2 linked regions of the Rattus norvegicus genome follow. The protein of the gene in region 1 purifies or fractionates together with the protein of each later gene. This does not show direct contact. Links are inferred from orthologs where the notes say so. Each region holds a gene or a part of one and is shown on either strand. Other genes may lie near its edges. The genes, in order: Mad2l1bp and Lbr.

What was found.
Region 2: the proteins of Mad2l1bp (region 1) and Lbr purify together in Homo sapiens (co-immunoprecipitation; 3 studies listed by BioGRID and IntAct, counting the BioPlex papers as one, with this or other methods). This does not show direct contact. The link is inferred for Rattus norvegicus from reciprocal best matches to the Homo sapiens genes MAD2L1BP and LBR.

The regions. Positions count from the first base shown.
Region 1 is NC_086027.1:22,329,136-22,336,630, reverse strand, and holds Mad2l1bp (MAD2L1-binding protein), read right to left. Parts: upstream 6,933-7,495; 5' UTR 6,927-6,932; coding exon 6,872-6,926; intron 6,492-6,871; coding exon 6,226-6,491; intron 3,518-6,225; coding exon 3,005-3,517; 3' UTR 2,607-3,004; downstream 1-2,606. UniProt on the Homo sapiens protein: May function to silence the spindle checkpoint and allow mitosis to proceed through anaphase by binding MAD2L1 after it has become dissociated from the MAD2L1-CDC20 complex.
Region 2 is NC_086031.1:96,087,052-96,096,020, reverse strand, and holds the start of Lbr (delta(14)-sterol reductase LBR), read left to right. Parts: upstream 1-311; 5' UTR 312-419; exon of another isoform or gene 420-823; intron 824-3,996; 5' UTR 3,997-4,010; coding exon 4,011-4,175; intron 4,176-6,128; coding exon 6,129-6,344; intron 6,345-8,969. UniProt on the Homo sapiens protein: Catalyzes the reduction of the C14-unsaturated bond of lanosterol, as part of the metabolic pathway leading to cholesterol biosynthesis.

The sequences.
Region 1 (7,495 bases):
TGATCTAACCACTGCAACTTCACCTCCGCTACTGATGTCTCCAAAGTCAAAACCAACAGGGAGTTCCAAAGCCTTGTTTCAGGGAAATTGGCCTTTGTCAGTGATTGTTCTTTTTTCTAGATTCCTTTGAAGAGACTCATGAGGTCAAAATGCCCTGGGCCTCTGAGCCAAGCCCATAGAGAAATAAGTGTCTAAGTCACTCAGATAATTACTTTGTTTTGATTGCCTAGGCATTGTTCATTATGGCTTTTCAAATGAGCGTTTGAGAGCTGGCCTGGCTGGTCTTTCATTTCACAGTAACCTATGGCCCCCATTCACATGTCAGCTCCTCCCCTCACCGTCCTGTCTTGCTTTGGCAATATGGTCTAATTCCTCTGCAAAGCATTGTCAGACACAAAACAAGCAAGTCTGGCTGACAGGACACATTTCAGGTGATGTCAACACAGAACACAGCCCAAACACTTGTTTTCACAGATCCTGGATTTGCCTATCAGTGATGAGTTCCACAAGGAAGGCGGGGTCTGGAAGCTCTGTAATGACACCCATTAGGGACAGAGCAAATCCTGGCTATTTCAGAGAAAAACCACACTCATGTTAGCACACAGAGGAGAGCAGTTTTTGCAGGTGGTGAACAGGTTTCAATTCATGCTTCCCCACTTAAGCCAGTGAGTCTCAACCCTCCTGATACTGCGGCAGTTCCTCATGGAGTGGTGACCCCCAACCATAAAATTACTCCATTGCTACTTCACAACTGTAGTTTTGCTACTGTTATGAATCATAACGTAAATGTGCTTTACACACTTAGCCTTAGGGGACCCCTGTGAAAGGGTTGTTTGACCCACAAGAACTTCCAACGTAAGCAAACCAACCTCACCAAGCCTTACCTTTATAATGGGGTAGTAATATATACATATATGTTAGCCTTAAATAATGTGTATGAGTGCCTTTTTTTGAGGCAGGGTTTCTATGTAGTCCTGGCTGTCCTTACTGTGAACTAAGCTGGCCTTGAACTCACAGAGATCCGCCTGTCTGCCTCCAAAGTGCTAGGATTAAAGGCATGCACTAGCCCACCCAGCCTTGTTTAGTACTTCACACAGTATTATAGGTACAGGGAGCACGGGAGCAGATATACAAGAGACCAGCCTGGTGTCACAAAAAATGGGTTGTAGAAATAGCCTCCATCGTGGGCATTGCAGAGGGATGAGCTAAAGTACGTAGACTTGAGATACAAGGATGCCTGTACACTCTGAAAGGACTTGAAGGTGGGAAGGGTCATGGGGGCGGGCGGGGGAGTAGTCGTGGGAGTCTGGGATGAATATGATCAAAATACATTATATGCATATATGAATTTTTCAGAACAAAAGATATTCTCAGGAGAAATAGTAAACTGGTTTTAAAAGGGAGGTGAAATAATCCTCACTCAGGCAATCACTGACCCTAAATAACAGCCATGAGGGGGACCTGCCACAGGCTTCCCAACCCCCAGGAGTGGTCTTGCAGCTTCTAAAACATTTGAAAGAAACAAAGTAAAAACTTGGCCTCATAGCCTGCAAGTCTAGCAGAGGCAGAGGATCAGGAGTCATTCAATGCTACATAGCCAAGTAACAGGAAACTGTCTCCAGAAGAATTTTAAGAAACAAAATAAAACCTAGTTAGTCTACGTATGTGTTACAGTGTTTCAACCATTTCAGACATCTCACTCTAACAACCTTGCATATACCCTACGGACTTTAAGCCAGCGGCTCCCTCAGCAGGGTGGGGTTTTGGTCTCAATTTGTTGCCAGGAGCTGCCTTCAAGAGTAATGTCAGGTGCCATCAGGCAGTGGAGAGAGGTTGGACAAAAATTCCAGGAGGAACGGGACACAGCAAGGAAGTCCTCAGGATCTGGGGGTGATCTGAGGAGCCTGAGCCCACAGTTCCATCTGGCTTTGAGAAGAGCCTCTTAGTTTTCTTTTTTTCCGCAAACTCCTTGTCCTCTGAGATTTGTTTCTCAGATCCGAAGAGCAGAATTGATCACAGAACCACTGAGACTTCACAACAGCTAGCAGAGGCTACAGGGCCTTGCAGGGCCTTGCAGGCCTCGGCTTCTGGTGCTGGGAGTGTGGCACACGCTAAGCCAATCAATGGTGACTTTAGAGCCTGGATATGGCCACAGCATTTGGTCCTGACTGACCACAATGGTTAGGACTCCTGCTCACCACGTTTTGAGTAGGGCTGTGGCTCCTGCTCTCTGAGCTAGAACCATCTTTGGCCAAGGTAGAGGGCTTGTGACTCCAGGCTGGCTTCCTGTGAGCTACCACCACTGCTCCTCCCCACATACCTGCTGCTTAGAGTCTACCACCGAGCAGGCAGTTCTCCAAGACCCTGAGCCCTCCCAGTGAGTGGTCCTTTAACAGAATTTTTACCTGCAGCAAAAGTGACCTCTGCTTTGAACATACAGAAAGTCTGGATTCCAATTCCAGGACCAAGTAAACCAGGTAGGAAGCTTATGCCAAGGACCCCAGCATTCAGGAAGTAGAGGAAAGAGAAGCAGAGGGTCAAGGTTAACCTCTCCTACGCAAGAGGCCTCAAAAAAAAGCAAGACAGCAGCAGCAGCAGCAACAATCTTTGAGCCTCAAGGCCAAAAGTCTAAATCAAAAGCGTTAAAAAATTTTAATACTGATCTATTCATCTCATCATTCAAATTCATGAGTCACATCCATATTATGATTCTGGCACCAGTTCTGAAAACGCACAGCATAAAGCGGAGAAAGACCACGTCCATTAGAGGATCTACCCACACAGCCTTGCTTTCTACTCCCAAACAGAACCACCTGGCACAGGGGCTTCTGGGAGTCAATCATCAATTCGAGGGCTTTGCTTGATGACGATTCTCACAGTCAGAACCACACACCAGGAAATCTGGGGAGAGGCACACAGCCAGGAAAGAGCTTTCCTCCCTCAGCGGAGAGATCAGTGCCTTGGCACGAGATGGGGAGAGGATTCAGCCAATGTCCTTATACATTCACTCATGGAAACCTTTAAGTGTCACTGGTGCCTGGAACCAAATGTAATCCTCGGAAGCCATGGCTGGGACGGAAGGTCTACCACAGGACAGTGTCACGGTGAGTTTGTGACCCCGGCTGGGCACCCGGTAGTTTAATTTGGGTCGAAACCAATCTTCTCCACAGTCACGGTGGCCCTGTACCATGACAATGGTACCCATGAGTGGGGGAGCCTGCAGCTCACTAAATGCATCCGCCAAGAAGATGGCTCTGAAGAGATGACGCAAGCACGCTGCTGTGTTCAGGCCCTGGTCCACACTGAACGGGGCCAGCCTGGACAGGTCGAGTTCATAGAATTCTTTGGGGCTGAGGGCATTGCCTCCAAGAAGGATCAACACTTGTGGCACTAGTGTTCGGGCAAAGAAGTCTCGTAGGTGACTGAGGACACTCTCCAGTTCCGCCAGAGCCTGCTGACACTTCCTGTTACTCGCCTCAGTGGTGAGCCGAGGTTTCTTCCTTGCTGTGTCCTCTGCCTGTAAAGACAGAGAATGATGGACCCAAAGAACATGGTAGACAGGAGTGGGTGGCCTTTGAAGGAACGTCATGGATATGTGCAGAAAAACTGACCAATCGAACTGCTGATTTGGATTTCCTGAGACAGCATTAAGTTAAGGAAAATCTAATAACCACTGTACAAACTATGATCCTCCTAAGCCTTTGACTAGCAAAGACAGTATTGAAAGCTGGAGACCACTAAAATATAAGAGACTAGTCAGAGGGCAGTGAGAGGGCTCAGCAAATTTAGGGGCTTGCGGCACAAGCCTGGCAACCTGAATCTGATCCCCAGAACTCAAGTAAAGACAGGAAAAAAATGACTCCACAAAATTATCCTTTGACCACCACGTGCATACTGTGGCACATATACGCAAACGTTTGTGTGTATGCATGGGTGTGCGCATGCACTCACAAAGCAATAAAACGAAGAAGCAATTTTGTTGTTGTTGTTGTTGTACTGGGAGTGTAAAAGAATTTTTTGGTTTAATAACTGAACATGACGATTACACCACATGGTTATTAAGTCTGGTGAGATGTGGTTGGGGATTTAGCTCAGTGGTAGAGCACTTGCCTAGCAAGCGCAAGGCCCTGGGTTCGGTCCTCACTCCAAAAAAAAAAAAAAAAGTCTGGAGAGATGGTTCAGTAAAAGCATTTGTTCTGCAAACACAAAGATCTGAGTTTAAATCCTCAAGACCCAGTCACATCCAGCACTGTGTGGCGGAGACATCCCGAGAGCTTGTGGGCCAGCCAGCCTAAGTGTTGAGCTTCTGATTCAGTGAGACCCTGTCTCAGGCAATGAGGTGGAAAACAGTACCTAGCACCATCACCACCCCTGCACCCACAAATGCACGCACCCATGAATGCACGCACCCACGAATGCACAAACCCACTCACTCAATTACACACAGTTACTAGTACCTGCTCCCTCCTAAAATACTGTGTACAGAAATTCAGTAAGGGAAGGAGGAAATAATACAGGATATAGGCCAGAAGGCAAGAAGCTTGAGAAGAGTCCACACTGCAGAACCCTAGGCAGTAGAGACACTGCAGAAGGCATAGGGGCAGTACTGAACACAAACCTGTGTGAGGAATTCTCAAGGGACAGTTTCTCTCTCTCTCTCTCTCTCTCTCTCTCTCTCTCTCTCTCCCTTGTTAAGACAGGGTCTCCCTGTGTACCTCAGCTGTCCTGGAACTGCCAGTGAAGACCAGGATGGTCTAGAACTCAGAGAGAGGTCTGTCTGCCTGCCTCTCTCTCGACTGCTGGGGTTAGAGCACCACACCTGGCCCTCGGTGAGTTCTCCAAGGAGATCTCCTTATGGTATAATTACCTTATAAGGCTCAGGCATCAGACAACAGTTTATTCTATTTACCAGATAGTAAAACATTCCAACATAAAACAACCAACCACGAAAGCCGAAAGACACAAAGGAAAAGGCTTGTAGGAGACACTTGGAGGAGCAAGAGGAAAGTGGGAAGGATCCTTAAAAAAAAAAAAAAAAATAGAATTTCATGGTCCTGAAGGGCATGATAGCTATAATCCCAGCCCCAGGGCTGAGGTGGGAGGAATACTGAAAATCACAAGCTAATCGGACCAGGAGATGGCTCATGCACGCGGGAGGCAGAGGCAGGTCGATCTGTCTCTGAGTTTGAGGCCAGCCTGGTTTATATAGAGTGAGCTCCAGGACAATGAAGGTAACACAAAAAAACCCTGTCTTAATAGAAGAAGGAGAGGAGAGCGAAAGGGAGGGGAGGGGGAGGGGAGGGGGAGAGGAGATGGGAGGGGGAGAGGAGATGGGAGGGGGAGAGGAGATGGGAGAGGAGATGGGAGGGGGAGGGGAGGGGGAGGGAAGGGGAGGGGAGGGGGAGAAGAGAAGAAGAAAGGAGAGGAGGAGGAGGAAGGAAAGAAAGAGAAGATGAAGAAAATCATTAGAATCTGAAACCTAGAAATTCTTCCAAAACACACTAAAACAAAACCAGAAAGAGAGGTAAAATGTGGTAAGAAAAAGAACTTCAAATGTAAAGAGCTGGTTCAGGTCTGGGGATGTAGCTCAGTAACATAGCATTGTAGCATGTGAGAGGCCTTGGAGAAGGGAGGGGAGAGGGAGAAGCTAGAGGGAAGGAGGTGGAGATATGGAGAGGGACAGGGAGAGGGAAAAAAGGAGGGAGGTTGGGAGAGAGGGAAAGAGAGACAAAAAGAGGCAGACGGAGACCATCTAGTCTAAGGAAAGGCCAGATGTGGTGAAGCACACTTGTGACCTCAGAAGTCACTGGGGAAGTTGAGGTAGCCAGGTTTCAGAGACCAGCCTAAACTACATAGTGAAATCCTATTCCCGATAAAAAATTAAAGAACAAATCCATAATATCCGTATACACCACATAATAGGAAGAATCTCAGAAAAAGAACAAGAGGGGTTGGGGATTTAGCTCAGTGGTAGAGCGCTTGCCTAGGAAGCGCAAGGCCCTGGGTTCGGTCCCCAGCTCCGGAAAAAAAAAAAAGAAAAAAGAAAAAGAACAAGCGAAAAAAGTGAGAGACCCAGAGACCCAAGTGCAGAGAAAATGAGGCAAGGAAGCCTTTGCAAAAGCCTAGACTTCCACGGAGGCTGAGACGTCTTAGGTCACTTTTCTAGTTGCCCACCATCTAAGGGCCCATAAGTCTTCCGAATTTTCTCAGGAAGCCTGTACATACCTGGGGAGAAGATTTCTGGTAGAAGTGCTTCAGCTGTTCATAGGGCAAAGGGAGCTGTTGGCGTTGGTACATGATATGCTTTAGAAGTTCACAAGTGAACTGGCAGCAGCCTTCCTGGCTCACGGGTCCAGGAAACACCACCGGTACCAGGTCTCTTGGGCAAAAGGGCTCCACAGAATTGGAAGGTTCCTGGACTGGCGGGATGACGGTCTCAAGATCTACCCCGGGTGCACGAGTTTCTTCCGGTTTCTCAGTCCAATCCAAATCTAGTCCATAAATGAAAAAGGTAAAGAAAGGAGGGGCGATGTCACAATAAGCGTTAGGTTTCTTGTTCCCAGGGGCTCAGTCAGCAGACACTCCCATAAGTGACAGGAAACCTGATCCGGGCTGGGGGCGATTTAAATGACATCAGGGCCAGAAGAGGGACTTTAGGGAGGCTTTGCTCCGAGTTGGGGCCAGGACACCCAAAGGAACAGAACAGAAGAAAAATTCCACCCAGGGCAACTCGCAGAGACAGGGAGGACTGGGACACCGGGAACCACTGGGATAGGAAGGAACGCCGGAGGAAATGTCAACCACTAAATGTCTCTGGGGAGGTAGCAGCAGGGAAGAAGCGAGCTCCCAAGTAATGGATCCCACGTCTTACTTGGGGCAGCAGCAGGGGACAGCTCCGACCGATCCTCCTGCCCGGATGCGGCCATCGTGACTGCCAGCTTAGTAGTCCTGCAGTTAAAATAGACGCCGCGCAAAGGATCATGGGAAGCTTAAACTCCACTTCCGGCTCCTAGCAGCCGGAAGGGACTCAGCACGGCCGCTGAATGGTGAAGCTTGGACTGAGAAGACTTGAGCCACACCCAGGCCAGGGAGCGCTTGGCTCATCCCTCTAGGGCTGGGTCTGCCTTTCTAAGGACGCATCCATTCACTCCAGTTCCCTGAACACCTCACTCTCCCGGCGTCTGCTTCATTCCAGGGCCCTGTCCTAGGTGCTGGAGACGCAGCCGCTGTCAAGCCACTCTCCAGCCCTGTTCTTAAGAGGTTCATGCCTGGCCTGGGGCACCTGATCCAAAGCGGGTAGGGCGGGGTTAGGTGCCCGAAAGGGTGGTTTCCGGAATGTATGTACTGTGACTGGGTAAAAAGGATAATCCTAGTGAGATCTTGAGAGATACACTCTCTTTTCAAAGACTCAAAGAAGTTTATACTGAGAATGCTAGGCTGACTCCGTGGGAGAATTCAAATAGGCAGTTCAGGAGAGTATGCCTAAGAACCGGGC
Region 2 (8,969 bases), on another chromosome or scaffold:
CGGGACGCAGAGACCGCGGGCTTTGGCTGTGGTTACACATGGACGGAGCGCGGGGTGACAGCACCGGACCCTTCGCCTAGCGTCGCACGATGAAAGGTCGTCGCCTTCCTCACAGATTGCTGGCCCAGGCCGCTCCGCGGAAGGGCGCGAGCCAAAGCCCAGCTCGGTGCCTGGGCCGCCGAGATAAACCGGGTGGGGACGCCGGACGCTCACGAGCGGGCGGGCGGGACGCGCCACGGGCCCCCGACCAATCGCCAGCGCCGGCGATGATTCAAAAGGTCGAGGGACCAATGGGAATCCTCGCTAGGGGCGGGACCTCGGGGGCGCGAGAGCGCGGCCGGCTGTGTCGCGCGCTGGATCGCCGCGGGCTGCTGGTGACTGTCCCGGAGTGGCTGGAGTTCCCGCCGGAGCGCGGCCAGGTGAGCGTCGGCACAGGTCCCCGCCGCGTGTGGAGGGTGGGTTTCCCGGGACGGCCGGTGAGGCTGGGGCCGCGCGGGCCGGAAGCCGAGCGTGGGGTTCGGATGACGGACACCCCCCCCTTCCCCGTCTCGGACGCGCGCTTTGGGAGCCCCGGACGGCCTGGGCTGTGCCCGCTGTGGTGTCCGGGCCTCCGGAGAGCCGGCGGCCTTCAGGGGAAGAGTTAACTGCCTCTGGCCCCTGCCGAAGCACCGTCCCACCTGTCCCGGCCTCGTGAGTGCTTCTGCGCGGTGACATCGGGCCTCGCGCCTCCAGCGGCTTCGAGGGCCACTCGCTGCGCACTGGGGTGTGGAGGGCCTGCTCCGGGGCACTTCGGCGACGGTGGGCTGGCCTGGCGGTACGCCCGGTGTGTGTAGCGCACTTGGTGTGCTAGGGCCGGGGCTCAGGTGCACAAGTAGGAGTAGGTCTGGGGCTACAAAATAGCAGCTGCTCGGAGGGAGAAGGTGGGGCTGTAGAGAAGCGGGGATGGAGGACCTAGAACGGACAGAGAGGGTGATGATGAGTACGGTTTGCTTAGTTTCGGAGCATTGACTGGGGGAGTTGGGGCGCGAGTTAGGACTGTAACGGTAAGCGTGCCTTTGGGAATTAAGGGAAAAGACCATTCTGCCTGTATAGCCAGCTTTCTCTTGCATGGCTCTGAAGGGACACAGACCCAGGGGAACGCCTTCCTCTTTGCATTTTGCCTAGCAGGCCTGTGCCGGCTCAGGTGTTTAAGGGTAGCTCTTAGATATCATTTGAGCTTTCTCTTTCTGCCACATTGAGTTTGGGGAAGCGATTACAGACCCTTGCATGGCTCGTGAGCAAAGTAGTAGAAAGAAATCTTCATATTGATACATAGCGATATATTGTACCATACTATTTGGAGTCCAGTGCCAAGTGACATTCGGGTTAGCAAGAATCTGGCTTAACAGAAAAAAAAAAAAAAAAAAAAAAAAAGCCGGGGAATCCTTGAATTCCTGCTATGTGTGGTTGAGGGTACAGTGTTTAGTAAGCAACTTTTCTTTGCAAACACCTGTTTAGGGAAGCCTGTGTGCGCCTCTTGGCTTGTTACTTGGGTGCGTAAGAACACATGCGCACGTCTGGAGCCCCCTTGTCTTATCCAGTATAATTATTTCCTGCTGTGCTGTATTTTGGGATGCTGTTACTTCCATAGCTTCCACTGACTATGTGGATCTTGTGCAAAGTGGCATTCTCCACCTGCCATGTAAAATATTACCATCAAGTGTCAGTTCTTGTTTTTTTTTTTTTTGTTTTGAGACAAGATCTCTGCACAGCACTTATTGTCCTGGAACACAGTAGACTATGCAGACCTTCAACTCAAAGAGATCTCTTCCTCTGCCTTGTGAATAGTGGGATTAAAGCCGCCAGGCCCAGCCAAGTCCCGGTTCTTAATTATTCCTTCCCTTTTTTTTTTCTGGGGATCAAATTTCATATCTTACACATTATACACACATTTTTGAAAAGTTGAGGCTCAAATATCTACTGGGTGCCTCGATTTATGTATTCCCAAGTATTTAATAGGTAAATAGGTAATAGGTTTTGTGTGTGTGTGTGTGTGTGTGTGTGTGTGTGTGTGTGATCCTTGTTGGACTCAGTAGTTAATGTGGTGTCTTCGAGATGCAATAGATAAGTGAGACTAGGGCCATACCATCTTAATCTTCTAGATTGCATCATATCTCTGAAGCTAAACAGGAGAGGGCCTGGACCGTACTGGATGGGATGAATGACAGTGATTGGATGCTTCAGATGGTTCAGAATAAGTCTGTTCCAGGGCCTTTTAAAGATGCAGGTGGTCCCCAAACCCCAAAGTGCTCATATTTCAAGTTTCGAGGCTTTGTTTGAGATCCTGCTGGCATCTTCATATAGAAAGACATTGTGGTCTTTTCTCCAACTTTGGAAGACCTGGGTAGGAGAACCTAATTGATTTGGGGTGGTCTGGGGCGGAAGAGGGGCGGGGAATCAGAGAAGGAAGCCCAGCACGTTTCCTTCCTCTTTGTCCTGGGCAACTTGGAACTAAGTGTTGAAATAGACAGAGCTTTCTGTTGTCACCTTCCTTTTTTGCGCCCCTCCTCGTACAGATGTGGGCCACTGCCCTTCTGCTGCCCAAGGTCCTCATGTACACCTCTGCCAGTCTAACTTCATTCCTAAAGCTTCCAAACATACTCATTACCCAAGAGATGCTATCTCACAAGTTAGGGAGACTGAGGCAGGCTCTGTAATGGACCTCTCATCACCAGATAAACACTTTCTTTCATCTGTTGTCTGTCTAAACAAGTGAAGCTTGTGAAGTCTCAGGCGATTAACAGTGAAGAAACGCGTTTAGAAAGACTTGGCTTGGGAGGGGTAGGTAATGCAACTTTCTCTTTAATTCCAGTCTGCAAGAGTCTTTCGTGTTCCTGTTGGGTTGCATAACCAGGTCTTGGCAGGAGTGTGTCTTGCGTGCATGGGTGATGTATAGAGACCTGCTTGGCAGGTGGCATCTTTAGCTGAAGGAGTCTTTCTGTCTGCTGCTTGCTTATCACTGGTGTCAGTCCACTGGCTTTATCTATCCTGTGAATCTGCTAATCACCTGGGAGCTCTTAGCACAGCCATCATTTTGTATTACCTCATGTAGATGATCATTCTTGAAAATAGTGGTTTCTTGAGGTGTTGAAGGTTTCATGTTTTCAAACAGTGGCAAAGAATGTTGCAGTTGGGGTAGGTGTCAGCTGTAGGCTTGAGAGGTGCACAGGTTAGCTCAGAGCTTAGGTGGGTAGCTGGCAGCCTTAACTGGTATGCACTTGGGAGTTGACTCAGAGTGCAAACTGTATGAGGTAAACCTCAAATATGTTATTCTTTATAGATTTGAAGCTCTTCCTGTTGGTGGGTTATAGTAATGCTAATGTGCATTTTTAATTTTTCCAGTTTGTTTCATAGTTTTATTATTTTCCAGTAAGGTAGCTTGCTAAAAATATAATCTAATGATTTTTAAAGCTTTTGGTGAAATAACATGTAGATCTACAAATAAAAATGTGTCCTTTTGGGGTTGGGGATTTAGCTCAGTGGTAGAGCGCTTGCCTAGGAAGCACAAGGCCCTGGGTTTGGTCCCCAGCTCCGAGAAAAAGAACCAAAAACAAAATGTGTCCTTTTTGAGATGTGCCCTGAGTTTTGGTTATCGTAGGTGGGTAGCATTCTAAGTCGTAAGGTTTGATGCTTGTGACCTTGTCAGAGTTAATCCTCAGTGCCATTTTCTGTGCTCCAGTGTCTCCTCCAAAGTGGTTCCGAATGGAGTGAAACGGAGCTCACGTGGGATTTGTGTTGCTCTGTTACTCCCTCACGTGTGCTTGTGAGCTTTGACAAGCATTACCTCAAGCTCAGGTTCTGCCAGCTATAAACTAAGGTGCCGCGCTTCTTCCTTGGCTTCCTGGCCCTCAAAGTAAAACCAACTAGAAAGTTGTTTCAGTGACCAGCAGTGAACAATCTAGTCCAGAAAAGTAAGTAATAATTATTGACTGAATTTTTTTCTTTAAAATCGTTCAGACTGATTTTGAAAAATGCCAAGTCGGAAGTTTGCTGAGGGCGAAGTGGTCAGAGGCCGGTGGCCTGGGAGCTCCCTGTATTATGAGGTAGAGATTCTGAGCCATGACAACAAGTCCCAGGTCTACACCGTAAAATACAAAGATGGCACCGAGCTGGAGCTGAAGGAGAGTGACATCAAGGTGAGTGTGTCTGCCTTGGTCTTGCAGTGAGTGGGAAGAACTGGAGGCCCATGCTAGATTCCTGCCTTGAGGCTCTGGGGCACATGCTGTTCTTGGTTCTGGGATTATGCGAATGTGTGTGGGCACAGATCCCCAAAGCTCATGCCATTGGGTCTGATCATCCTGTGAGGTGTTTGCTGTGGGTGTGTTAGACCCGGAAGGACCCTGGTTTTTATGGACTTTTGTTTTTTTTTTAAAGATTTTTTATTTATTTTAAGCTATTTATTTAAGCTATTTTAAGCTATGTGAGTACACTGTCACTGTCTTCAGACACACCAGAAGAGGCCATCAGATGTCATTATAGATGGTTGTGAGCTACCATGTGGTTGCTGGGAATTGAACTCAGGATCTCTGGAAGAGCAGTCAGTGCTCTTAACCGCTGAGCCATCTCTCCAGCCCTTTTAGGGATGGTTTTTAGCCCTGTTTTCTCTGGGCTGAGTGCTAGGACAGATGGCAAACCATAGGGCTGGCACCATACCAAAGGCTGTGGGGTGATGCTGGCAGGGCGAAGTACCAGCTGGAGACAAGCTGGGGGGTGGTGTAGGGTTAATAGGCTTGAGTTTCTTCCTCCTCTTCCTCTTCCTCCTCCTCCTCCTCTTCCTCTTCCTCCTCCTCTTCCTCTTCCTCTTCCTCTTCCTCCTCCCCTTCCTCTTCCTCTCCCCCCTCCTTCTGTCTCCCCTCCCCTTTTTCAAGACAAGTTTCCTGTGTGTAGCTCTGGTGTCCTGGAGCTCACTCTGTAGACCAGGCTGGCCTCACACTCAAGAGATCAGCCTGCCTCTGCCTCCCCAGTGCTGGGATCAAAGGCGAGCGCCATCGCCTGGCAGGACATGGGTTTCTACTTAACACTGGTGATGGAATCAGAGGGAGTGACACTAGGTCTGAGGCCAGCTCACAGCTTCTCCTTCCCAGCCTGTCTGTTGATGGCATGGGTTTTAGAAGATTGACCTATGGTATACAAATACATAAAATGCATAAAAATTAGTTTCTATGATAAAGGATAAGCAAAGCTGCAATGTTTGTTAGATTCTCTAGGTATAAAATTGCTTAGTCAGAATGCTCTAAAACCGTCTACTTAGAGCTTAGCAGTTTTGGACCTTGCAGCCCATCATCAACCAATAGTTTGGACCCATGCATGGTCTGCGGATGAGCACTCTGTGTTCTAGTTTTAGCTTTAGACTTTGTGGCTCATGGGGTTCTGTAGTTGAGGGGGCAGCTCCAGCCATATGGAATATGACTTCTCTCTTGATGTTTTTAGCGGTCACTTGAGAGTGTCAATGCCATCCTTAGCTGAGGGCCACATACACAAAACAGTGCCTGGACAGAGGTCCAGGGGTTTACCTGACTCAGGTCTCTGCCCCTGGAAACAAGGAAGGAATGGTTTGCAGTGGATTAGGGCAGAGTAGCCACTGACCAAGGAATTTATTTTTTATTTTATTTATTTATTTTTTTTCCAGAGCTGGGGACCGAACCCAGGGCCTTGCGCTTCCTAGGCAAGCGCTCTACCACTGAGTTAAATCCCCAACCTCTTAACTTGTCTGTTTTTAAGAGCTCCAGTTTGTTTCAGAGTGACTCTGTAGGGCTGCTTTTTGAAAAATTGGTTGGGTGCTAACTATCTTGTCTCACCATGTCAGTTTTGGACAGTATCAGTTCCAAGCCTTTCTGGTGTTGCTGGTGTTCTGATAATGTGTGTGATGTAGTCACTGATTCCAGGGAAGTACCTTTGAAGTTGGCAGAGCAGGGGAAGGAAGCGCTGTCTTTCCTAGGAGCCCGGCTGCTGTAGCATTCCACTGGTCCTGTGTGCTCCGTTCTCAGTTTAGAGTGCATGGCAACAGATAGTGGCCCTGACTGACAGCTCAGCGCTGCCGCTGGACATTAGTGTTCTGATAACATCTCTGTGGCCTTTTCCCTTTCTAGCCTTTAAAGTCCTTTAAGCAGAGAAAGAGTGGCTCAACTTCCAGCTCTCCTTCAAGACGCCGCAGCAGCCGCAGCCGCTCCCGATCACGCTCCCGATCCCCGGGCCGGGCACCCAAAGGTTCCAGAAGATCAGTCTCTGCTTCCTACCAGGCTGACGCTAAGGAAAAGGAAATGAGGAGGGAGATTTTGCAAGTTAAATTGACTCCGCTCGTGCTGGTACTTGTTCCATCTGTCCGCCCCGCACTGGCTTCCCTTTATACACATTTATTCGTATTATTTGCACTTTTGTTAGCAAGTATTTGAAATACAAAGTATAGTTTCTTTGAATATCCAAGAAAAATTGTTTATCTTTAATTTTTATTTTTAGTGTGTATACGTTTGGTATGTGTGTAGCCACACCTGTGCAGGTGAGAGGACAGTTTTATGGAGTGTGTTCTCTCTTTCCACTCATGTGCGTTCAAGGGATTGAACTCAGATCATTAGGCTTGAAGGCAAGCATTTCGACCTGAAGCTACCTTAGCTGCTTCAGTGATGTGACCAGGAGCCCTGATAGTGTGTGTGGTCTTTAAAAGATGCTTACATTGAAACAGATGTAGCTTGTAGGCTATGAAGTGAGGAGACACCTACTCTGTTAGACATTCTTGCTCTCTCAGTTGGCAGCCTTCTGCTTGGTCACGTTCACTCTTTAAAAATCTTTCCCGTGGAATGACTTTGGTGGTCCATGCAGACGTGGGTGGAGCCAGGGGACCTAGCCAAAAAGTATTTCATCTTATGTAGTATTATAGTTTTTTTACTTTCTTTTTCTTTCTTTTTTCTTTTCTAAGACTGGGTAGCCTAGGCTGGCCAAGAACTTGATAAAAATCCCCCTGTCTCCATTTGTTCAGTTCTGAGATCATAGGGTAAGCTACCACAGTTGATGGATAAATTTTTTTTTTTTTCTTTTTTTCGGAGCTGGGGACCGAACCCAGGGCCTTGCGCTTGCTAGGCAAGCGCTCTACCGCTGAGCTAAATCCCCAACCCCTGGATAAATATTTTAATCATTTGTTCTCAACCTTCCTAATGCTGTGCCCCTTTACAGTAACTCCTCATGTTGTGGTGACCCCACCATAAAATTATTTTGTTGCTACTTCATAACTCTGATTTTGCTATTATGATTCTTAATGTAAGTATTTTGGGGGATAGAAGTTTGCCAAAGGTGTTGTGACCCACAAGTTGAGAGCCCCTGTTTTAGACACTAGCTAGAGCGAAGTAAAAAGAATGCTTTTTTTTTTTTTTTTTGGTTCTTTTTTTTCCGGAGCTGGGGACCGAACCCAGGGCCTTGCGCTTCCTAGGCAAGCGCTCTACCACTGAGCTAAATCCCCAACCCCAAAAAGAATGCTTTTGTATTCTACTCATTTAATGCCATCTCTTCTGGAGACAGAGCACCCGGGCTTCTAATAATCTTAAAAACTAAACGGTGAGTAATGCACTTAGACTTTGAAATGTTAAAATAGTGAGAATAACGTGCCATGTGGTAGTTTCCTCTTTCTGTTGTTACACAGTAAACCTCAAGACACATACATACCTTAGTATTAAAGTTAGTTCTGTGGTGCAACCTTGTGTTTTTCCCTCTCGGTGTTCACTGTTCTAAACGCTTTCTGCAGCATCTCGTCATCTCCTTAGACTTAGCTTGGTCAAGGTGGACAGTGCACAACAGAGGCTTGTAATACGTGTGCTGGACTGGGTGAGCATGCTTGTGCCACCATCAGTACCGTGTGGAATGCTTGCTTTCCATCTGAGGACTGTAACAGCCCCCCCCCCCCCCCCACCGGTTGTCAGAGATTGTCACCTTCTTTTTCAGACTTTGTGCTTCCTTATATGATGGACTTGCTGTTTCTTTGAGTGGCTCTCTACCACGTGGGGGAGGGGCAGATGCTGCTCACTGCTTTCCGTTTCAGCTTCCATCTTCACACTGCCCTTTTATTGATAGAAGAGCTTCGGGTGGCCTTGCCCCTGTCGTCAGAGTCTAACCTGCATGGTGTGTCCAGTTCACATTTAGGCTGCCTCAGCTGTGGACATCACGTGTGAGCTCAGTAATGCACCTCACAGTGTTGAGTGCTCTCTCCTCCTCCTCTGTCCACTCGGGAAGCATTGGCACGTAGTCAGCGTGGGTTAGAGTGAGCTGACTGCTGGCTCACTCCCTGACACTGGGTACACTCCGGCGTATAGCGGGCGCTCTGCTGCTCGCCTGACCTTGAACCCAGTGTGAGCTAATGCTGCCATTGTCGGCTGGTCTGAAGGATGGACTTCTGGAAGCTGAAGCTGGACTTTTGTTTGCTTCTTGACTCAGTAGTGCTTTAGTTGGTTGACAGTCTCTACAGAGGAGAGAAGAGACTGTTGCAGCCATCGCCTTAACAAGCTCTAGCAAGCTAAATTGATTCTCTTTTCTCAGTAAGAAACTATGAGGCTGAGCCGAGAGGGACAGCTAGGGAGGAAAATAATTAAGGGTAAACAACATGTAGCATGAAATGCAAACAGCCAGTCTTCCCACCGTGGGCTGGTTAGGGTCGCTGAAAGTCTTTTCTTCATTTTAATTTGTAGCTAGTGAACGAATTTGCCAAGTTTTACTCACCTGCCTTTCATAGAAATGTTACAGTATGACAGTGAAATTATGGAAACATTAAGTGTGAAAGTGTTTGAAAGAAGGACAGTTAATATAGAAGCCTGTTCCAAAACATAGTGTTGCATAGCTGTAATCCCAGTGCTCAGACAGGGGTTGAGACTGGAGGATTGCCACAAGTTTGAGGCACTGACCTTTTGAGGACCAGGGAGGTCTAGGTGACTTTGTCTCTTGGTTTTTAG